4 linked regions of the Macaca mulatta genome follow. The protein of the gene in region 4 interacts with the protein of the main gene of each other region in a biochemical or structural test. Links are inferred from orthologs where the notes say so. Each region holds a gene or a part of one and is shown on either strand. Other genes may lie near its edges.

Region 1 (6,042 bases), on a different chromosome or scaffold from region 4:
TCCCACCTCCCATCACGGGTAGCAGAGTGACGCTGACCCAGCCCACTCAGGCAGGAGACCCGGCCCTGGCCTGGCCACAAACACCCGGAAGGCAGTTCAGCTCCCTCCCGCTCCACAGAGCCCGAAGGCCTGCTGGGAGCAGCAGCCCTGCAAAGAGGGTTCCAGTACACTCTTTGTTCCTTCAGCCCTCATCTTCGGCAGATCAAAAATATTAAAATAAGCTACAAAGGAAGTGAAGAAATCAAAACATATCCTGAGAATAAGCTGTCAAGACATGGGTGGGAGGAGCCAACGGCAGCCAGCGAGGGTGGAGGCGGGGCCTCCCAGGCCACTCCTTCTAGGAGAAGTGGGGTCTGGGCACTGCGGGTCCACGCCCACCCTGAGACCACACTCCCTTCTCATGTGTTGCCCCCGTGCACAGAGACACGCACATGGCTGTCCTAGGGAGACTTAAGGGGATCCTGCAGCCCAGAACTCCCAACCACACAGTCACAGAGCCTGGGGGCACGCACTGAGCGAGGGCAGAGTCCCTGGCTGCCACCCCACGTCAAGAACACAGAGCAGGAGACGACACGGGCAGGATGGGTGCCCACCCCCAGGAGCATGAGGAGAGGAAAGCCCGCAGGAGCTGGTGAACATGCAGGGAGCCAGGCGGAGGCCACCACTGCCAGGGCCAGGCTGTGGCTGCCACTCAGGCCTGGAGGACCCAGTCACTCACACCGTAAACGTCGTCAGTATGGCTTGGGAATTCCTTTTTAATCAATAGATGAGATTTCAGAGCTGTGCTAGGGAGGACTTCAAAAGGGAAAGGCAACTTGGAGCCATCCGCTGAGATGACCAGGGGGAAAGCTTGTCTGGCCCGTCTCCATGGCGGCCCAAGGACCCCGGCGCTCACAACCGCCGGGAGGGAGAAGCCGGTGGCCTGGGCCCTGCTCTGTGTCAGCTGTGACGAAGAGGCCCTGCTGGCCACTCCAATGGCCCCCCAACAAAACCCAGGAAGACAGAAAGACTGCAAGCACATACATGACCCACAGTCGGACAAAAACAAACGCAGACACACCCTGCTCAGCCGAGATCCTCTGCCGTCAGCTCTGGAGACAGTGATGAGTGTGTCCCAGCAGCTCAGGCCTTGGCCACAGGTGACCCACTATGCAGCCTGCCCGAGCCCACCAACCACCCCAGCGACACGTGGCTTCCCCCAGCCATAGGCACTGACGAGGGTGCGGCCACCCCAAAAAGAAAGACCCCAGCCCACAGGGAGCGCCATCGGACCCACCCCAGCCAACTCCCCATGTGACATGAAGGGTCCCAGCCTGTGAGGTCTGTCTGCAGCTCTGCCACGAGCATCCGTCCCCAGCCCACAGGTCTGCAGGCAGCTGCCACCTGAGCCCTGGCCTGGCAGGGTCAGAAGCACCCCTGCACACACACACGCACACACACAGGCACACGCACATGCACCCTCCGCAGCCCCCTCCACGCAGAGGCGACAGTCCCTCGCTTCCATCCACAGCCCCTCCTCCCCACGATCTGACACTCTGCTGGAGGGGCGCCCAGAGAAAACCGGGCTGGAGCATCTATTCACAGATTCAGAAAAAAAAAGTTTGATGCAATAGCTGAATTAATTAGGCCTCCCAAGAATAGCTGAGCCAATGCAGCATTCTGTGTGTGCAATTTAATAAGCCTGGATATTTAAAAGAAAAGTTACACATACTTGGGGAGGTATGCAACGGAAAGTTCCTGAGGACCCCACTGAGTAATTTCGGCGCCTCGTGGCCTGGGAGCTGCCCATGCCGGATCCCGTAGATCCTCCAACTGGCAAACTACAAAGCCAGGCCAGCGGCCTCCCTCCCCGGCGCACCCCTCTGCGTTTCAGAAGGAGAGAAGGAAATGGGTGAGTCCAAATCCCAAGCCGCCAGTAACTCCAGCATGTGGGCCCAGGGGCCTGCTGACCAGGCCCTCAGCCGGGTGCCAAGTGGCCCTCACCCCACACGGGGCACTCTGGGATTTGGTCCCTGGCAGGCCCAGGGAGACCAACCAGCACAGTGCTGGAGCCGCCCAGTCTCAGGCCCCTGTCGCTGCAGCCTGAACACCTGGCTTCATTTTGTGTCTCTGTCCCAAAACTTCAAGGCAACAAACATGGACCGGGAGCCAGTAACAAAACCAGGCCTCGTCTCGCCCAAGCTCTGTCTCCTGGGGCCCAAGGGCAGGCAGCCCTCCGTCTTCGAGGCTGGGTGCCTTCGGGGTGAGGGCAGTCACCTCCACCCCAACCCCAAGGAAGACCTGGGCCTGAGGCATCCGGCTGGGGCCCAACTGGAGCTAACTTCCCTGACCTCGGAGCAGGCCGCTTTCCCGGGAGCATAGGAGGCCTGTGCCTTCCTATCCTATCTGGGCAAAGGCTATGGGCCTGTGGGCCTTCCCCACACACCAGGCCTAGCCCCCACCCCACCGACACAGCCCCCACTCCAGGCTCCTCCTGGGGGAAAGGGCAGGAGGGCCTTCCTACTAAACCCTCTGGCCCTGCCAAGGGGAACACTCTGAATTTCCCTAAAACAAAGCAAAGACTTGACACATGGGGCACGGCAGAAACACAGGTCCCAGCCTTTGGAGACCAGAGCCTGTGGCCCAGAAGGGTCCCCCACCGCAAGCACATCCACCCCTGCTCCCAGGCCTGGGGCCACTCACCCGGGGCACCCGCCGCTTGTACTTGTTGCCGTAGTCGAACTTCTCCTTCACGTCGTCCAGGCAGCGACCGAGGCGCGCCTGCTCCTCCTTGCCCGTGTAGTCCTGGCTCAGCAGGATGTAGGCCCGCCAGTTGGCCGAGTCGAAGCCCCAGTGGCAGGTCCGGTTCTCCAGGGCCTTGTGCGAGTGCACCACGAACTTGTGCGGCGGGTACATGAGGCGGCAGTCCAGGCACTGGATGCAGGCGGCGCTCGGGCTGCTGTAGAGCTCCGGCACCAGCAGCCCCTTACACTTGCCGAAGCACTCGTGGTACACGCGGACGCTGCGCTCGCTGAGCTCCAGGCCCAGCGCCAGGCTGGCGGCCAGCTCCTTCTTGCAGGGCGGCGGGTAGGCGCCGCCGTAGAGCAGCGCGTTGCACAGGCGCTCGGCGTCCGTCTTGGTGATGAGCCCGCACGAGGGCGCCGAGAAGGGCAGGATGCCCATGACTTTGAGGATCTCCAGCTGGTCGGCCGTGCAGCGCGAGCAGTAGATGTGGAGCTCGTCGCACACCGAGTTGATCTGCTGCAGCGAGAAGTCGCGCAGCACCGAGTTGAGGATCTGCGGCAGACACAGACGCTTCTCGCCTCCCACCACGAAGCACGAGATGGTCTCGCCTTCTAGCACGGTCTCGCAGCGCTCAGTGGAGCGATCGGACGGCATGAAGAAGGGACCGGGCAGCACGGGCGGCGGCGGCTGGATGGCGGGCAGGTGCAGCACGGGCGGCGGCTCGGTGGCTGCGGGCACCGGCGCCGGCACCGCGGCCGCGCCCGCCTCCTTGGCGCTCTCCTTCTTGTAGGCCTCCTGCGCCCAGCGCGCCGAGAAGGCGGCCGGGCCGCCCAGCGAGCTCATAGAGCTCAGGTGGAACTGCTCCAGCGTCTTCTGCAGCCCCGGGTGCGGCTGGAAGCAGCCGCGGCCGCCTGCCGCCGCCTCCATGGTGCGCTCCGTCTCCCCCGGCCGCTCCCGCTCCCGCGCGCCCGGGCCCCCCCGGCCCCCGCCGCCGCCCCGCGCGCCCCGGCGGCGCCCGCGGCCCCGACCCCGGCCGCCCCCCGCCGCCGGCTCACGGCCGATCACGGCCGCGGCCTCGCCCGGGGGCGCGAAGGGGAAGGCGGGCGGGGCGAAGGGGTCCCGCCGCTGGAGCCCGCCGCCGCCCGGGCCCGGCGCCACATCCACGCGCCCCGCGCCGCGCCCGCCGCCGCCCGGGCCCCCCGCGCGTCCCCCGCGCGCCCCCCGGGCTCTAGGCGCGGGGCATGCCCCGGCGCGCGCCGCCAACGCCAACGCCAACGCTCGCGGGCCCGGGGCTCGCGGGGGGCGCGCGGGCAGGTGCCGGCGCCGCGAGGCGCGAATCGCCGCGGCGGCCGAGGCCGAGGGGCCCGGGAGGAGCGGGGGCGCGGGCGCGGGGCCCGCCGGGCCGTCCTCGCGCGGCGCGCCGCCGCCGCCCCGCTCCTCCCACCGCGCGGCGCCCGCCCGGCTCGTCCCGGCGGCGCTGGCCGGCCGCGTCGCGCCCGCCGCCGGCCCCCGGCCCGCCCGCCCGCCGGCTCCGCGGCCCGCCCGCCCGGCTTCCGGGGCGGCGGAGGCGCCTCTCGCCCGCGGCCCTCAGAGCGCGGCGGCGGCGCGGGGCTCGGGGCGCTCGGCGCACATCCTCCCGGCGGCTCGCTCCGGCTCGGACTGAGCGCCCGGCGCTGAGCTCACGCCGCCGCCGCGCCGCCCCGCCCCGCGCCGCCTGCTCCGCCCCGCGCCGGCCCCGCCCCCCGCGCTGTTTGTTGCCGTGCGTCCGCCTCAGCCCGAGCGCTGGCCAAGAATGTGACCCGCTCCCCAGTCGGGCTCTTCCAGGAACGCGCGCTCCCCGCCCGGACTCGGCCGCGCTCGGCTCCGCTCGCCCGGGACTCGGCCACGCTCGGACCCGCCCTGCCACGACTCGGCTACTCTCGGCCAGGACTCGGCTCCGCTCGGCCATGCTCGACTCCGCTCGGCCCCGCTCGGCCCCGCCCGTCGAAGGCCGCTCGGCGCGGGCGGAGGCGGAGGCGGCGGTGGCGCCCGGGGCCCCCCTTCCGGCCGAGGCCGCTTCCTGCGCGGCTGGGAAGGCGCCCGTCTCGCCGCCGCCGGGGCCCAGAAACCCACAGGCCCCCGCCACGACCGCAAACCAGCTGGGGGAGGCCGGGGGGCCACGCCACGCAGCCGGGGTTCTCCCAGGGTGGGACGCCACACAGCGGGGAGGCCCCGGACGCCTCTGGGGTCCCACACACTACCGGGACGCCACACGGTGACCTGGGGGTCACCACACACGAGGGGGACAGCGGCCACGCCCAGGGACCCCGCGCCGAGACAGGCGCCGCGCCGCGTGACCCTGGCGGCGCAGCCCAGCGGCCCCCGCTGCCCCGTGGCCCGGTGGCCGAGTGTCCGCGGCTCCCGCCCGCGCCAGCCCCGCCCCGCCCGACGGCCCCGGGCGGACTGTCCCTGATGCGCGGGCCAGGGGTTTCGGGCCTGAGAGGGGCGGCGTCGGGTGCCCCCGACGCGGCCGGTTTGCCAGCCACCCCGGCCAGGTGGCTTATCAGAATTTCGGTCCCGCGGGTCCCGGCGGGCAGGCCGGCGAGACCCTTGCCCTCCGCCCCAGGGCCTCGGAGCGCTGAGACGGCTTTCGGGGCCAGGTCGGCCCTCCACGCCTGGCCACGCAGTGGGAGAGACCCAAGCCATGGCAGGGCGGGAAGCGGGAAGCCCGGGGCCCCGAAGTTGGACAGTCGGCCAGGTGGTCTCCAGGGGAGGCAGCGTCCAGCGAGGCGTGCGGGCGCGGGGACGCAATGGTCGCGGGGCTGAGGGCTCGGACTGTGCTCACCTGAGGTGGAGAGACATTCCCGACGGGCCAGGGGTGCCCAAGCTGGCCTGGGTACTGCAATGTGAGTGACCTTTAGCTGGGACCTCCTGCCCCTCACTTCCCCAGTGGAGGCTGGAACCAGCCTCAAACCAGCACGCCTGGGCGCAGTTCCTACCCTGGGGGAGCCGGCCCAGCGCCCCTGTGCAGGTCTTGGCCCGACCTGCGGCAGGGCAGGTGTCTGGAGAGGGAGCCAGGACCTACCAGCAGGTGACCCCCAGCAGGTGACCCCAGGGCAGCTCCATACTCCCTCTCTCCGCTGCCTTGGGGTTTGTCTCCTTGTCATCACACTCCACGCTGTCCCCCGACTCTTCCCATTGACTCTGTTGGCCCCCACAATTGGAGGCCAGGCCTCTCTGTGCGTTCACACATCAGAAAGCTGGGTAAGAAGATCATTTCCTTAAAAGGGATATTTAACCCGGCAGGGTGGCTCACGCCTGTAATCCCACCACTTTGGG
Region 2 (5,175 bases), on a different chromosome or scaffold from region 4:
ATGTCTCCATCCGAAGCTGATGGAGGGAAGGGGCTTGAACAGGGCCTCAGGGGAGCAGAGGAAGGACCCTACCGGGAGATGAGGGAGGCCTCAGGGGACCCAGCACCCCAGGACACCGCAACCCTGTCTGAGACTGAGGCTGCCACTTTTGGCCTCAAGAATCAGAATGATGGGGACTTATATTAGCATAGGGGTGGGACCCAGCCCTGCCAGGATCACAAGGAGGAAGAGGAGGGAAGACTCAGGGGACCTTGGAATCCAGATCAGTGTGGACCTCTGCCCTGAGAGGTCCAGGGCACGGTGGCCACATATGGCCCTTATTTCCTGCATCTTTTGAGGTGACAGGACACAGCTGTGGTCTGAGAAGTGGGGCCTCAGGTCAACAGAGGAAGGAGTTCCAGGATCCATACAACCCAAGATGTGCCCCCTTCACAAGGACTGGGGATATCCCTGGCTCCACAGAGTATGGCTGTTTCTTTTTTGTAGCTCTAGGGGGACCAGATCAGGGATGGCCGTATGTTCTAGTCTCACTTGTACCACAGGCAGGAAGTTGGGGAGCCCGCAAGGAGATGGGGTCTTGGGGTAAAGGGGGGATGTCTACCCATCTCAGGGAATTGGGGGTTGAGGAAGCACAGGCTTTGGCAGGAATAAAGATGAGTGAGCCAGACAAGGCTATTGGAATCCTCACCCCAGAACCAAAGGGGTCAGCCCTGGACACTTCACCCAGGGTGTGGCATCTTCTTACTCCTGTTTCCAGATCTCAGAGAGGTGAGGACCTTGTTCTCAGAGGGTGACTCGGGTCAACATAGGGACCCCCATCTGGTCTAAAGACAGAGCAGTCCTACGATCTGCCATGCATTTGGGTGAGGAACATGAGGGAGGATTGAGGATACCCCAGGGCCAGAACACTGACAGAGACCGCACAGAAATCAGCTCTGCCCCTGCTGTCACCCCAGAGAGCATGGGCTGGGTCATCTGCCAAGGTCCCTCTCTTATCTTGGGATCATTGATGTCAGGGAGGGGGAGGCCTTGATCTGAGAAGGCTTCACTCACGTCAGTAGAGGGAGAGTCCCAGGCCCTGCCAGGAGTCAAGGTGAGGACCAAACAGGCGCCTCACCCAGGACACATTAATTCCAATGAATTTTGATATCTCTTGCTGTCCTTCCCCGAGGACCTAGGCCCGAGTGGCCAGATGTGGGTCCCCTCCTGTCTTTCTGTTCCTTATCATGGATGTGAGCTCTTTATTTGGATTTCTCAGACCAGCAAAAGGGTGGGATCCAGGTCCTGCCAGGAAAAATGCAAGGGCCCTGCGTGAGAACAGAGGGGATCATCCACCGCATGAGAGTGGGGATGTCACAGAGTCCAGCCCACCCTCCTAATAGCACTGAGGGCCCAGGGCTGTGCTTGCAGTCTGCACCCTGAGGGCCCGTGGATTCCTCTTCCAGGAGCTCCAAGAACCAGGCAGTGAGGCCTTGGTTTGAGACAGTGTCCTCAGATCACAGAGCAGAGGACGCACAGGCTGTGCCAGCAGTCAACGTTTGCCCTGAATGCACACCAAGGGCCCCGCCTGCCGCAGGACACATGGAACTCCACAGAGTCTGGCCTCACCTCCCTACCGTCAGTCCTGTAGAATCGACCTCTGCTGGCCGGCTGTACCCTGAGTGCCCTCTCACTTCCTCCTTCAGGTTTTCAGGGGACAGGCCAACCTGGAGGACAGGATTCCCTGGAGGCCACAGAGGAGCACCAAGGAGAAGATCTGTAAGTAGGCCTTTGTTAGAGTCTCCAAGGTTCAGTTCTCAGCTGAGGCCTCTCACACACTCCCTCTCTCTCCAGGCCCGTGGGTCTTCATTGCCCAGCTCCTGTACACTCCTGCCTGCTGCCCTGACCAGAGTCATCATGTCTCTTGAGCAGAGGAGTCTGCACTACAAGCCTGAGGAAGCCCTTGAGGCCCAACAAGAGGCCCTGGGGCTGGTGTGTGTGCAGGCTGCCGCCGCCTCCTCCTCTCCTCTGGTCCTGGGCACCCTGGAGGAGGTGCCTACTGCTGGGTCAACAGATCCCCCCCAGACTCCTCAGGGAGCCTCCGCCTTTCCCACTACCATCAACTTCCCTCGCTGGAGGCAACCCAATGAGAGTTCCAGCAGCCATGAAGAAGAGGGGCCAAGCACCTCGCGTGTCCTGGAGTCCTTGTTCCGAGCAGTACTCACTAAGAAGGTGGCTGATTTGGTTCGTTTTCTGCTCCTCAAGTATCGAGCCAGGGAGCCGGTCACAAAGGCAGAAATGCTGGAGAGAGTCATCAAAAATTACAAGCACTGCTTTCCTGTGATCTTCGGCAAAGCCTCTGAGTCCTTGCAACTGGTCTTTGGCATTGACGTGAAGGAAGCAGACTCCACCGGCCACTCCTATGTCCTTGTCACCTGCCTGGGGCTCTCCTATGACGGCCTGCTGGGTGATAATCAGATCATGCCCAAGACAGGCTTCCTGATAATCATCCTGGTTATGATTGCAATGGAGGGCGGCCGTGCTCCTGAGGAGGAAATCTGGGAAGAGCTGAATGTGATGGAGGTATATGATGGGAGGGAGCACAGTGCCTATGGGGAGCCCAGGAAGCTGCTCACCCAAGATTTGGTGCAGGAAAAGTACCTGGAGTACCGGCAGGTGCCCTACAGTGATCCTGCACGCTATGAGTTCCTGTGGGGTCCAAGGGCCCTCACTGAAACCAGCTATGTGAAAGTCCTTGAGTATGTGATCAAGGTCAGTGCAAGAGTTCGCTTTTTCTTCCCATCCCTGCGTGAAGCAGCTTTGAGACAGGAGGGAGCAGCTTTGAGAGAGGATGAAGAGGGAGTCTGAGCATGAGTTGCAGCCAAGGCCAGTGGGAGGGGGGCTGGGCTAGTGCACCTTCAAGGACCGTGTCCAGCAGCTTTCCCTGCCTCGTGTGATGTGAGGCCCATTCTTCACTCTGTTTGAAGAGAGCAGTCAGCATTCTCAGTAGTAGGTTTCTGTTCTATTGGATGACTTGGAGATTTATCTTTGTTCTCTTTTGGAATTGTTCAAGTGTTCCTTTTAAGGAATGGTTGAATGAACTTCAGCATCCAAGTTTATGAATGACAGTAGTCACACATAGTGCCGTGTATATAGTTGAGTAGTAAGAGTCTTGTGTTTCATTCAGATTGGGAAATCCATTCTATTTTGTGAATTGGGATAATAACAGCAGTGGAATAAGTATTTACTTAGAAATGTGAAAAATGAGCAGTAAAATAGATGAGATAAAGAACTAAAGAAATTAAGAGATAGTCAATTCTTTTTTTTTTTTTTTTTTTTTTTTTTTTTTTTTGAGACGGAGTCTCGCTCTGTCGCCCAGGCTGGAGTGCAGTGGCGCGATCTCGGCTCACTGCAAGCTCCGCCTCCCGGGTTCACGCCATTCTCCTGCCTCAGCCTCCTGAGTAGCTGGGACTACAGGCGCCCACAACCGCGCCCGGCTAATTTTTTGTATTTTTAGTAGAGACGGGGTTTCACCGTGGTCTCGATCTCCTGACCTTGTGATCCGCCCGCCTCGGCCCCCCAAAGTGCTGGGATTGCAGGCGTGAGCCACCGCGCCCGGCCGAGATAGTCAATTCTTGCCTTATACCTCAGTCTATTCTGTAACATTTTAAAAGATATATGCATACCTGGATTTCCTTGGCTGCTTTGAGAATGTAGGAGAAATTAAATCTGAATAAAGAATTCTTCCTGTTCACTGGCTCCTTTCTTCTCCATGCACTGAGCAGCTGCTTTTTGGAAGGCCCTGAGTTAGTAGTGGAGATGCTAAGGTAAGCCAGACTCATGCCTACCCATAGGGTTGTAGAGTCTAAGAGCTGCAGTCACGCAATCAAGGTGGCAAGATGTCCTCTGAAGATGTAGAGGAAAAGTAAGAGAGAGTGAGGGTGTGGGGCTCCAGGTGAGAGTGGTAGAGTGTAAATGTCCTGAGCTGGGGCATTTTGGGCTTTGGGAAACTGCAGTTCCTTCTGCGGGAGCTGATTGTAAGGATCCTGGGTGGATCCAGGGCCAGATTCTCAGACGGTGAGAGAAAAGCCTGAGTTGGAAAGCTGCTCTGAGGAGTTTCTTTTGGACGGTGGATAAACAGAGAGGAGTCTCCACCTAGGCAGGATTGGAAAGTGTTCTGCGCTTTTTTTTTTCCCATTGCTTCTGAACACAGCGCAAGAGCTAGGTGATGGACACCCATCGTCCGAAAGCGTTTCCTGAGAGAGAAGCGTGAATCTCCCCGGAATGGAGATCCAAAAGCCACTGGCCAGGCACTTTTCTACCTGGCTGGGAGGACCAGAGCTGACTCTTAAAAAGGCATTCTAATGAGGTTATCTCACGTGCAATTTGGCCAGTTGTAAGCAAGATTTCGTATGTTGACAAAATGAATGAAAATAGTGGTTTGGATGGAAAGGTATGTGGGAGAGAGTAAAGGAGTTGGTTTTTGACTCAAATTCTACGATCTTTGAGCTGTATCCGCCTAGGGGAAGTCGCACACCCAAATTTTGAAGTACATTCTCTAAGAGGCAATACTTACTGAATTTTAGGAATGAAACTTCCCTTTTTGGTTAGTTATTCCATGTCCTATTAAGTTGTATATTCTCTGATAAGTCCTGGAGAACAACAACAAAATCCCAGAGTGGTAGGGTCTGGGCTCAAATAATATTAGAAATAACAGCCACCTGCTATCCATTAAACTTGTAATTTACTCCAGGCCCTGAACCAGCTGCTTCACTTGCATGCACACACTCCAACAGTCCTAGCGGAAGGGTCTAATCACACCTACTACACAGATGTAGAACCAGAGGCACACAGGGCTTGGGTATTTCCCAGGATCACGTGCCTAGTAAGGGACAGGGCTGGAACCCGATCCCTGATCTGAATTCCTGTAGAGCCCATGCTGTTCCCACTCCTCCCAGCCTGTGGCCCACCTCCTGAGTACTACTTCCTTTCTCTTCTCAACACTGTGCCATATGTCTCTGGTGACAAAAAGAAAGACCCCGAGGCCAACGTACTAAAAACAGACCAGGGGAAGGTGACAGTGAGAATCAAACATCATTTGAGGCTGGTGTGCACTGGGTTCCTTGAGAGTTGATTCTGCCAAGGCGTGGGCATTTCTGTCCAGTTCCAGCACTTTCCCGAATTGCAGTGAGTTTC
Region 3 (6,062 bases), on a different chromosome or scaffold from region 4:
AAAATGGGATATTGCAACAAAAATACGGAAAGGTGAAGGAAAGCAAAAAAGCCATATTAGTGGGAGGAAAAAACAGAACAGAAACTGATTTGTTAGATTACTTCAAAAGGTTAAGAAGAGACTGAGAAGAAATTTTAAGAACCGTGTCCTTAAACGGGAGCAAGAATCTATACAAGGCAACAATGCAAGAGCGCAGAGCTGTTTATTTATTTATTTTTCTAACCAGCTCACAGGGCCAGCGGGTAGATTAGAAAGAAAACAACTAATTGCTAAAGTAGAGTAGCTAAGGAATCAGAACTTGTTTCAAAATAAGCGAAGTGGTGGCCAGACTAGGTGACTCAAGGCATGACTCAAACCCGACTCTGGGGGCTGTCTCTCAGCTCCCGGAGGCGGGGGGCGCGGCGTCTAACACATTTTAGGAAAGTACCAGGCTTGTGGAGGGCGACAGGAAACCTCCCCGGGAGATCGGCCTGGGGCTCCTCCTGCCCTAGAGCCTGACCTCTCACTCTCCGCACTGGGAGCCACTTCCAACCTCCTGGCTTCCCCTTCTTCCCTTCGAGGCTCCCCACCCCTCGTCTTCCACCCAGCGTCACAGGGCGTGTGCGTGTGTGCGAGACGTCGCGTCTCCTTCCCCGCCGCCCTCTGCCCCGTGCTCCCCGCCACGCGCCTTCCCGCCCCGCCTCCGCGGCGAGCCGCTCCCTTCCCACCCCGCCCGCGCCCGCCGCCCGCCGCCCGCCTCCCGGGCACGCGCGGCACGAACGGCGCCCGGACCTGCTCTAAACAAACACCTGTCCTCCCTTGGCTTCGCGAGATTTGGAGCGAAAGCCTAGGCAACAGGGGGCACGTTCTCGCGAGGTTTAGGAAATTTCCCACGGCCGTGTTGTGTCTGAGCCGAGTAGTGGAAGGCGGTGGGAAGGAGGTGTAGCGTGAGACGCGACTGCCCGCATTGGGTGCATGCGCAGTGCCGCTCGCGCGGGCCGCGCCAATCCTGCAGCGCCTTCAGCAGGTTTCGGGCGGCGAATTCCAGTTCTCCGGGTTTTGGGGCTCCCTGCGGGAGGCAGTGCTGGATTGGGAATCTCTAGGAAAGGAAAGGGCAAAGGAGGGGAAAAATGGGGGGCTGCAGGTAGGAGGAGGGGGCGGGGTTCGGGCTCTGCACCTTGCTGTTCAATGCCCGGCGGGGCCAGGTTCGCCCGGGGGCTTCCGGCATCAGGCCGCCTGAAGCGCGATTCGGGCAGCCGGCAGCGTCTTCGGCTGTGCCAGGCCCTCGGGTGGCCCGGTTCCCTGTGCAGTAGTGGCCTCAACACACACCTGGGCTCACACACGGTGGCGGCTGCGATGGGGTCTTAGAGAGGCCATGTGGCACGCGAGCTGCAAGAGCTTTGATCAGGGCCTCTGGCCCGACTCGGAGGTGGGAGAATGTGGCTCTCAATTCCAAGGCAGTTTTCCCTTCTGGAGAGAACTACTCCGCACCCTGGCGTGTGTCTGCGAGGTGGCCATTAGGGGTGTCTTTCCCAGAGGCCTTGACTTGACCTCATTTCACACCTAAGGAGAACGCTAAGCCGAGAGAGCTCAACTGCAAAAGTTTTCCGTTTGCGGAGCTCTGGAAGGGCCTCCTCATTAGCATGGGGGTGTAATGAATGAAGACAGTTCCCGACGTGTCACTTGCCCGAACCCCAGGCACCTCTGACGCTCCTGCACCTAACGCCGAAATTAGCATAAAGGAGGCGCCCAGGGAACGTCTGAATGAATGAAAGGAGCTGGGAACCCAGAGTGAGCGGGAAGCCGCTTGGAAAACACCCATTGAGGAGGTGTTTCATCTAGGCCTGTGAAACGCGGCCCATTTTCCCAGGACCCCTCCTCCCTTCTCCTCGGCCCCGCCTCCTGACCCCTCCATTCCCCGTCCCCGTAGTAATCCCCTCCGGTTTTCCTCAGTCTCCACGTACGTCCCTCAAGGCGCGTCCCAAAACCTGGATAACCGGAGCGCTCCCCATGGACCACACGGAGGGCTCGCCCGCGGAGGAGCCGCCTGCGCATGCTCCATCGCTTGGGTAGGTTTCCAAGGGAGGCAGCGAGCAGGATCCCCTACTCTGCGGGCGGCGCGAGGCGTCTGGCTCTTCGCGGCGGCGGCGAGGGGAAAGGGAGCGCGGGGGCTGGGTGGAATCGAGGAGTGAGGAAAAAGGGAAGGGGCGGGGGAGAGGGACCAGGGAAGGCGTCGGGGGGAATCTCGCGAGGGTTGGAGTTTTGGCGAGAGTTTGTGGAAGATGGCGCCTGTTGTGACAGGGTAAGTCCGAGGGAATCGGAGCGCTGGGAACCGGGAAAGTTGCGGGCGTCTGGCAGCCCGCGGCGAGCGGCGGATTCGGGGGCCGCAGCGCGCTTGGCGTCCGGGGGCCCGCGGGGGCGGCGTCGCGTGCGCCGAGCGCGGCGGCGGCTGCGGCGTGTGACCGTGCGCTGCCTCTGCGCTGCCGTGGCTCGGGCTCCGGCGCGTGAGGGCGGGAGGCGGCGGCGAGGCCGGCGGGTGCGGGCGTGAGTGCGGCCGGGCGCGCGGGGCCCTCGGGCGCCGTGCCTCCCGCGCGCCTCCAGCGGGCCCTGCCTGGGGGCCCCGTGCAGCTTTGTTCCTCGCGGCCGTTGTCGCCGCCTCGCCCCGCTAGTGCCCCCGGCCCCGGGCGCTTTGTCTTTCCCCGCTGCCCCCCGCGACTCTCTACCCCCGGCCCTTTGTTTCGCCGCCTTGGGCGCTTTGTCCGACCCGTGGCGCCCCGCATCCTCTTTCCATCTCCTCCCCTCCGCTGTCCTTCCTCCCGTGCCCCTTTGTTGTGCCCCACTCTTGTCGGTAGCCCAGTGACCTGCCACAGCCCGGGCACCAGATTCCTGTCTTAATTGTTCTTCCATTGTCTTTCTCCTGTGGGTCCTCTCTCACCTTTCTCTGCGGTCCTGGATCCCCCCCCCCCGAGGCGTTGTCTCCCCCATCCATGGGCTTATTCTCTCGGCACCCCCTTCCTCTCCCGTCATCGGTTGATTTATCCACTACCCCCGGTGTACGTCTGCTGAACTGTCTCAGCCCCGGAGACTCCATCTGCTGCTTCTAAGTGCACACAGACTCTACGGTTTGTTGTTGTTTTGTGAGTCTGAAAGATGCATGGGATACTTAGTTTCCTCCTCCGCACCCCTTTTTCTCGGGATTTCTTGCACCCCCCGCCCCCCCATCGCCACCCCTTTCTTTCGGGATTAAAGCGTCTCCAATTTTCATCGCCGTCTCTTTAGTGCGGTGGGTTGTTTTGCTTGGAAACAGTAGCCCTGGAAAAAGGTCTGGTCTCTTGGTGGTTCTTGCGTCCCCCGGCCCCCGGCCCCCGCCCCCCTCCTGGTTCCTGACGGCCTAGGCCAAGGGCAGCTGTCTGTCGAAGCTTTGCATTTAGGTTGCCTGAGGATGATTGGAGGGTATCGTAGGACGGTTAGAAGGAGGCTCAAGATGTATATATGTGTTTTTCTGTTAGTGTTTGAGAATAGTTTCAGATATCCACAATGGATATTCATTTGGCATGTGAGTAGGAGTTGAGTGAATTTCCATGTTGAAAACTTGTGAGTGTTGGGGCGGAGAATTTCAGCATTTTCTAGAAATCTGGATTTAGAATTTATCAGAAACTCCTGCCTCATAAGGAAAAGGAGAGGCATTCCGGTTGGGAATTTTATATAAATGTTTTACTTTTTCTTAATCATTAGATGGTTTACAGTTATGTGCGTTTTTGCTGCTCTGTGGATGCGTGACAACCCTTCTGTCCCATCACTGGGGTTGAAATGAGGACAGCACCGAAGAGTGCAGTTTCTGATTGATGAATACTGCTTCTAGGATCTTTGTGGAAGATATTAATCAAATGCAGTAAAAAGTATACGTAAAGATGTATATTATATATATGTAATAGCCTGTAGTGAGATTATTTTAAAGACACTTCCTAGTGTTAAAGGACCCTTGAAGTGTTCTTACTGTTTTGGTAATGCTAAAAGCTTGGGGTTGTGTGAATGGGGATGGGGGGTGTGGTGTGATGTCTTTTAATGAGTTATTCTCGTGCTAGGAATAAGAGTTATTATATTTACCAGGATTACTATGCTGAATGTATTCTTCAAGAGTGAGTTTGTTTCTACTAGTTGGTCTCTACTTTTAGAAGGTATGTTACACATAAAATCATTTGGAGTGTCATTTCATTTACAAACTGAAGTTCTACAATAGTAAAGTGTTGTTTATAGAGGACATATGAGATCTACTCTAACGAGTATTGGAGCATTGGAAAGTATTTTTTTTTTCTGGCTGTGATTAGAATTAGTAGTTTGAGTTTTAATTAATGGAAAACCATGGTTTCATGATTGATACTTAAGTTTTTTTTTGTGAAAATCTGCAGTCTGGGTCGCATGAGTGGGTTTTACCAATAATCTTATGTCTCCCTTACTTGTTCTTGTACATAATGATTCTTTTGAAGGTAAAATCTTAAGCTCACTGGTTTTCTGACTGGGAGCAAAGTGTAAATACTGTGTAATAATGGAGGGTATTTTGCTCTGACTTGTACCTGTAGAATGATTACACAGACATGATAAAAGCGCTTTTACCATTTGAGTTGCGTTTTTCTTTCTAAATCGTGTAAGACTTTTACTTTGTGGTGAAATAAAACTGCTTTTAATTAAATTATAACAGCAGCATATTTCGAAATCTGGATGAGTTGTGGCTGGAGAACTTTCATTCTGAGTATTAACTATTAAAACTTTAAGTTTTATTATCCATGCATATTGCTGATGGATCTGTGATTATATTTTCAGAAAATGAGACTTGCAGTATTTTCACATCTGTACTGTTCAAAACACTTGTAGGCTTTAGATTTTAAGCAGTTAGATTTGTTAAAAAAATTACCTATTGTCCTATACCAACGGATTTCTGTCAATTTTTTTTTTTAAGTGGGTAAGATCAAAATTGGTTTGGTTGAAAGGCCATTCTTGCCAGATGTAATTCATTAAATAACCTTTGGCACCCTTGATGGGTAAGGCATTAGGAAAAAATTGTTTTGTTTTTTAAGTTCTTACACATCTCATTCTTCTGTTCATTTTTAGAAATAAAATCCAGGACTTGGCTTTAAAACATTATTTTGCATTTTGCTTCCTCCTAATACTAAATTTCATGTTATTTCAACTAGGGGCAGTATTTTCTCATGGATTGACTAAAAGTTGTTATTTTTGGCATCTGGCTTTGTGATTATTTCCAAGTTACTCTACTTCCCCTGGGCCAGTTTCCTAACTGTGTAGTAAAATGGGAATTATAATAACTTGCCACATCTGCACAGGATTGCTATGCCTTAAGGTTCGCAGAGAGCATCCTTGGATGAAAACTGTGGGGAAGGTCTATGAATTGTTACTGAAATAAGCTAATGTGAAGTAGGTCATATTTTATAGGAAGTCAAATAGGTTTTTAAATTATTGGCAAGACACAGTAGCAATAGTGGGATTTTTTAAAATCCCAAATATGTATTATAGTATGGGTAATAAAACAGATACCTTTATTCCTGCTCCCCGTAAACTTATAGGGAGAGAGACAAGTAAAACAAATTACAGGGTGATGTGTCGTGTGTGTGTGTGTGTGTGTGTGTGTGTGTATGTGTGTGGTGTGAAAGATTGAAGTTCTGTCAGACTCAAATGTAATAACATAAAATTATGGGATGCTTTCCTCTTTTGTTTTCTGCATGTAGCAATATCTTATTTATTTATTTTATTTTATTTTTTGAGACAGGGTCTCATTCTGTCATCAGGCTGGAGTTCAGTGGCGCAATCTTAGCTCACTGCAACCTCCACCTCTTGGGCTCAAGCGATCCTCCTGCCTCAGCCTCCTGAGTAGCTGGGATTACAAGCGTGCACCATCACACCTGGCTAATTTTTGTGTTTTTAGTAGATATGGGGTTTTGCCATGTTGGCTAGGCTGATCTCAAACTCCTGACCTCAAGGGATCTGCCCACCTTGGCCTCCGAAAGTGCTGGGATTACAGGGTGAGCCACCATGCCTGGCCTGCATGTAGTAATATTTAACAAATGGTA
Region 4 (4,935 bases):
AGGCAGAGGTTGCAGTGAGCTGAGACCGCACCATTGCGCTCCAGCCTGCGCAACAAGAGCGAAAGTCCGTCTCAAAAAGAAAAAAAAAATTAATGGGGCTGAGTGCAGTGGCTCACACCTGTGACTCCAGCACTTTGGGAGGCCTAGGTGGGAAGTTCACTAGAGCCTGGAGTTTGAGACCAGCATCGACAACATAGAGGGACCTCATCTTTACAAAACATTAAAAAATTAGCCAGGCATGGTGGCACACACCTGTGGTCCCAGGTACTTGGGAGGATGAGGCAGGAGGATCACTTGAATCCAGGAGGTAGAAGCTGCAGTGAACCATGTTCATGCTACTGCACTCCAGCCTGGGTGACAGAGTGAGACCCTGTCTCTTTTTAAAAAATTATATACACACGTACACATATGCACACATATAATAGATATTACAGTGAAGTACTTTTCAACTGTTCACAACAGAGGATGGGGAGGCACGTGAGAGGGATGAAATCCGGCATGACAGGCGAAAAGAGAGACAGCATGACCGGAATCTTTCCAGGGCAGCTCCTGATAAGAGGTAGGTGTTATTTAAGATACGTACCAATCATGGAGGCTGGGCGCGGTGGCTCACCCCTGTAATCCCAGCACTTTGGGAGGCCAATGTGGGCAGGAGATCGAGACCATCCTGGCTAACATGGTGAAACCCCATGTCTACTAAAAGTACAAAAAATTAGCCGGGCGTGGTCATGGTGGGCGTCTAGTCCCAGCTGCTCGGGAGACTGAGGCAGAAGAATGGTGTGAACCTGGGAGGCGGAGCTTGCAGTGAGCTGAGATGGCGCCACTGCACTCCAGCCTGGGCAGAGTGAGACTCCGTCTCACACAAAAAAAGATAGGTACCAATCATGAAGAGTGGCCTTTTTGTACCTTTTAGAGCAGAGTTTTTAGTCCACTAAGATCAGTTTTGCTTCTCTCCCTTTCTTCTTCAGTTTGATAACTTAATACATTAGCACTTAATTTTCTTATACTTAACTTTGTCTTAGCTCTAGTTGACTGTCTTTGGAATTAATCTTTTCTTCCATCACTTAAGTCAGAATTGAGAATGATGGGAATATGGAAAACAGAATTGAGATCAGATTTTTGAAAAGGATGTAGTAGTAAATTTGGACTGTTATAGTCGGTTCTTTTCCTACCTTAAATGGTGAGACAAATGGATTATGTGCCTCTTTAGACAGGAAATAAGCTGTCATGCTTTTACTGAGATCATTTTATATGCATAGTACTTTATATGCATCTAGTGCAATTGAGAAGAGCAGTTTTGAAAGAAGTGAAAATCAGCTCATTCTTAACAGAAGTTTAACTTACAGTTCAGAAAGACAGAGCTATCCATAAAATAATTTGAGAAAATTTGCAAAGCACTTTTAGTAAATATAAATGTATGGAACAAACTAAATACATATACAAGGGCATAAAGTATGGATTGGGGAAGTTTATGGCTCACCAAAGGCTGAGGACTTAAAGTTCTGAAAAGTAGAGGAAATGCTGCAATACAAAGGTAGAATTCTGAGTGAGGGTTAAATGCAAATATAAAATATTTTCTTCCCAAAGGAACAGTTTTCTATGCTCTGATCATCCCATGAGCCTAATACATTTTTCAAGTCATATTTTAAACACAAAAAAGAGGCTGGGCACGGTGGCTCACACCTATAATCCCAGCACTTTGGCAAGCCAAGGCGGGCGAATCACTTGAGGTCAGGAGTTCATCCAGCCTGGCCAACATGGTGAAACCCCCATCTCTACTAAAAATACAAAAATTAGCTGGGTGTGGTGGCATGTGCCTGTAGTCCCAGCTACTCGAGAGGCTGAAGTGGGAGAATCATTTGAACCCTGGAGGCAGAGGATTCAGTGAGCCAAGATCGTGCCACTATACTCCAGCCTGGGTGAGAGCGAGACTGTATCTCAAAAATAAAAATAAATAGGCATTAAAAAGATTCCTGCTGGTGTTAATTGGCATATTTCATCTCCCTGGATAAATGACGTCATAGAGAAGCAGAGACTCTTACTCTTGAGTTGAGGGTAACGTACATGTAGAAGGAGGAGCAAAGTGTGAAAGTGTTTAATTAATGACAGTCTTGGTTAGTAATTCCTAAGTTGTAAAAGTTACAATGGCTCTGTGGATAAATTGGGCCCTCAAAACCAGTAAAGTGGCCATCAGAATTGACAACATAGAAAAGCTGTAAAATTGTAACTGGATGAAAATCAAATAGCCTGTAGAAATCATTTTGTGACCTGAGTTTTTAGTAAAATAAGTAATGACAGTTACCATGGTTTCATTGGGATATAGATTGCATGTATAATGAAACAGCCAGGAAACCAAATTAATTTGAATGTCAAAAATCATACTAACTATTTCAGTCATTGACATGTTTTCCTCAAAATTCTAGTGGGATAAAATTATTAAATGTAGTTAGATAAAAGAGCTGTTTCTAGCTTATTTAAAATGATTCCTGTGCTACATCTAAATTGTATCCACTTCCCCAACCCCCAAACCATCATATGATAGTAAATATAGACCATAGCAATTTTATATCTCAGTATGGTTGTAAGGTGATTGCTTATATTAAAGAATTCCATGTCAACGAATCTGTTAGATGTTCTTTTGAGCTAACAGGATGTCCTAATTGTAAAACTCTTCCCTCTAATCTGAAATGCTTTATAAGGGCTGCCAACTTGATTATGTATTATCAAGGAATATACGTTCTCAAGATGTGAATGTGACATATTCATGTCCTTTGCTTCTGAGATTGGTTGTATTTCTATTGAACATACTCAGTTTGTCTATAAAGAGTTTTCAGTTAGTGATGTCGTATTTCAAAATAGGTCGAAACTTCAGAGAAATGAAAATCGGGATATCAGTGAAGTCATTGCTCTCGGTGTTCCTAATCCTCGGACTTCCAATGAAGTTCAGTATGACCAAAGGCTCTTCAACCAATCCAAGGTACAAGTTTAGGAAAGCATATTGTTGTGTTGATGTGAATACCTATCCTCAGGGAAACGAAAATTACCATACTTCATATTTGGATGTAAATGCCAGCATGATGACAAAAAAATTGGAAGTTGTATGTTGAAACTTGAGACAAGAAAGATGAAACAGTTCTGATTTTAACTTCTTACAGTGGACTGAAATTTGAGACACTAGGAGAAGAAAGAAATTAGCTGATTAAAAACTTGGTGCTGTACTCGGGAGGCTGAGGCAGGAGAATGGCGTGAACCCGGGGGGCGGAGCTTGCAGTGAGCCGAGATTGAGCCACTGCACTCCAGCCTGGGCGACAGAGCGAGACTCTCTGTCTCAAAAAAAAAAAAAAAAAAAAAAAAAACAACTTGGTGCTGTGGTATGTCAATCTTTTGTTTTTAAAATAGAACCAGGGAGGACAGGCACGGTGGCTTTTGCCTATAATCCCAACACATTTGGAGGCCGGCAGATCACCTGAGGTCAGGAGTTTGAGACCAGCCTGGCCAATGTGGTGAAACCCCAGCTCTACTAAAAATACGAAAATTAGCCAGGTGTGGTGGTGCATGCCTGTAATCCTCACTACTTGGGAGGCTGAGGCACGAGAATTGCTTCAGCTTGTGGTGAGCCAAGATTGTGCCACTGTACTCTAGCCTGGGTGACTGAGACTCTATCTCAAAAAAATAAAATAGAGCCAGTGTCCTACAAAAGTTCCTCTTGGGTTTTTTGTTGTTCATTTTTGGGTTTTTTTTTTTTTTTTAATGCTATAGAAATATGTCAATTTGGGAATCTTTTAAAAATGAAGCTGTAAAACTGGATTAAAGTACTAGGCTGGCTGTCAGGAAATCTGATTTCTAGTACCAATTGCCATTAGCTAACTAGGACACTTTAAGCCTGGGAAAACACAAGGCGGGTGCGTGCACACACACACACACACACACACACACACACGGTAAGAATACAAAGGTGTAAGTTCTACTGGAAAGTGGAGTGGGAAACTTTATGACTTGGAGGTTTTAAGTAAGCTCTTCTAAGTGATAATTTATTAGGTGCATTTTATATTCTTGGCATTGTTCTAAATCTTGTTATTATCTCAATTCTTACAAAAATCCTTTGAAATAATACTATTCTCTCATGTTATAGATGAGGAAATTGAAACACAGGTTTACCTTGTGACTGATGGAATTAAGATTCAAGTCTTGATCTCAAAGCTTTATTATTACTATTTTTTTTTGAGATGGAGTCTCACTGTCACCCAGGCTGGAGTACTGTGGCGCCATCTTGGTTCACTGCAACCTCCACCTCCCAGGTTCAAGGGATTCTCCTGCCTCAGCCTCCTGAGTTGCTGGGATTATCACAGGCACATGCCACCACGCCCGGCTATCTTTAGTAGAGACAGGGTTTCATCATGTTGGGTCAGGCTGGTCTCAAACTCCTGATCTTGTGATCCTCCCGCCTTGGCCTCCCGACGTGCTGGGATTACAGGCGTGGGCCACTGCGCCCAGCGCATTTCAAAGCTTTCTTAACCACTATACAAAGGCAGCTTACCAGCTGAGCAAAGGGATCTAGGGGTGAAATTTCACGTAAGTAAAATATTTTCAAGATAATCACCTGTTAGAAGCTTAAGCTTAAAACATTTAAAAATTGTGATGAAAATATTTCTGGCTGGGCACTGTGGCTCACACCTGTAATCCTAGCACTTTGTGAGACCTAGGCAGGCAGATTGCTTGAACCCAGTTTAAGACCAGCCTGGGCAATATGGCAAAACCCTGTGTACAAAAAATTAGCTGGACATGTTGGCACACACCTGTACTCCTAGCTACTTGGGAGGCTGAGGTGGGAGGAACACTTGAGCACAGGGAGGTTGCAGCTGCAGTGAGCTTATATAGCGTTTTGTGAGACCAAGGCAGGCAACCACCTGAGGTCAGGAGTTCAGGACCATCCTG

What was found.
Region 1: the proteins of SNW1 (region 4) and SKI form a complex in vitro, tested with the Homo sapiens proteins (2 studies listed by BioGRID). The link is inferred for Macaca mulatta from reciprocal best matches to the Homo sapiens genes SNW1 and SKI.
Region 2: the proteins of SNW1 (region 4) and melanoma-associated antigen 1 form a complex in vitro, tested with the Homo sapiens proteins (2 studies listed by BioGRID). The link is inferred for Macaca mulatta from reciprocal best matches to the Homo sapiens genes SNW1 and MAGEA1.
Region 3: the proteins of SNW1 (region 4) and RBPJ form a complex in vitro, tested with the Homo sapiens proteins (2 studies listed by BioGRID). The link is inferred for Macaca mulatta from reciprocal best matches to the Homo sapiens genes SNW1 and RBPJ.

Annotation. Positions count from the first base shown.
Region 1 is NC_133406.1:238,449,813-238,455,854, forward strand, and holds the start of SKI (ski oncogene), read right to left. Parts: upstream 3,916-6,042; 5' UTR 3,652-3,915; coding exon 2,683-3,651; intron 1-2,682. UniProt on the Homo sapiens protein: May play a role in terminal differentiation of skeletal muscle cells but not in the determination of cells to the myogenic lineage. Functions as a repressor of TGF-beta signaling.
Region 2 is NC_133426.1:159,458,628-159,463,802, reverse strand, and holds melanoma-associated antigen 1, read left to right. Parts: upstream 1-1,842; 5' UTR 1,843-1,896; coding exon 1,897-2,847; 3' UTR 2,848-3,560; downstream 3,561-5,175.
Region 3 is NC_133410.1:25,358,826-25,364,887, forward strand, and holds the start of RBPJ (recombining binding protein suppressor of hairless), read left to right. Parts: upstream 1-2,147; 5' UTR 2,148-2,261; coding exon of another isoform or gene 2,262-2,281; intron 2,282-6,062. UniProt on the Homo sapiens protein: Transcriptional regulator that plays a central role in Notch signaling, a signaling pathway involved in cell-cell communication that regulates a broad spectrum of cell-fate determinations.
Region 4 is NC_133412.1:150,940,175-150,945,109, reverse strand, and holds part of SNW1 (SNW domain-containing protein 1), read left to right. Parts: intron 1-462; coding exon 463-559; intron 560-2,859; coding exon 2,860-2,977; intron 2,978-4,935. UniProt on the Homo sapiens protein: Involved in pre-mRNA splicing as component of the spliceosome. As a component of the minor spliceosome, involved in the splicing of U12-type introns in pre-mRNAs.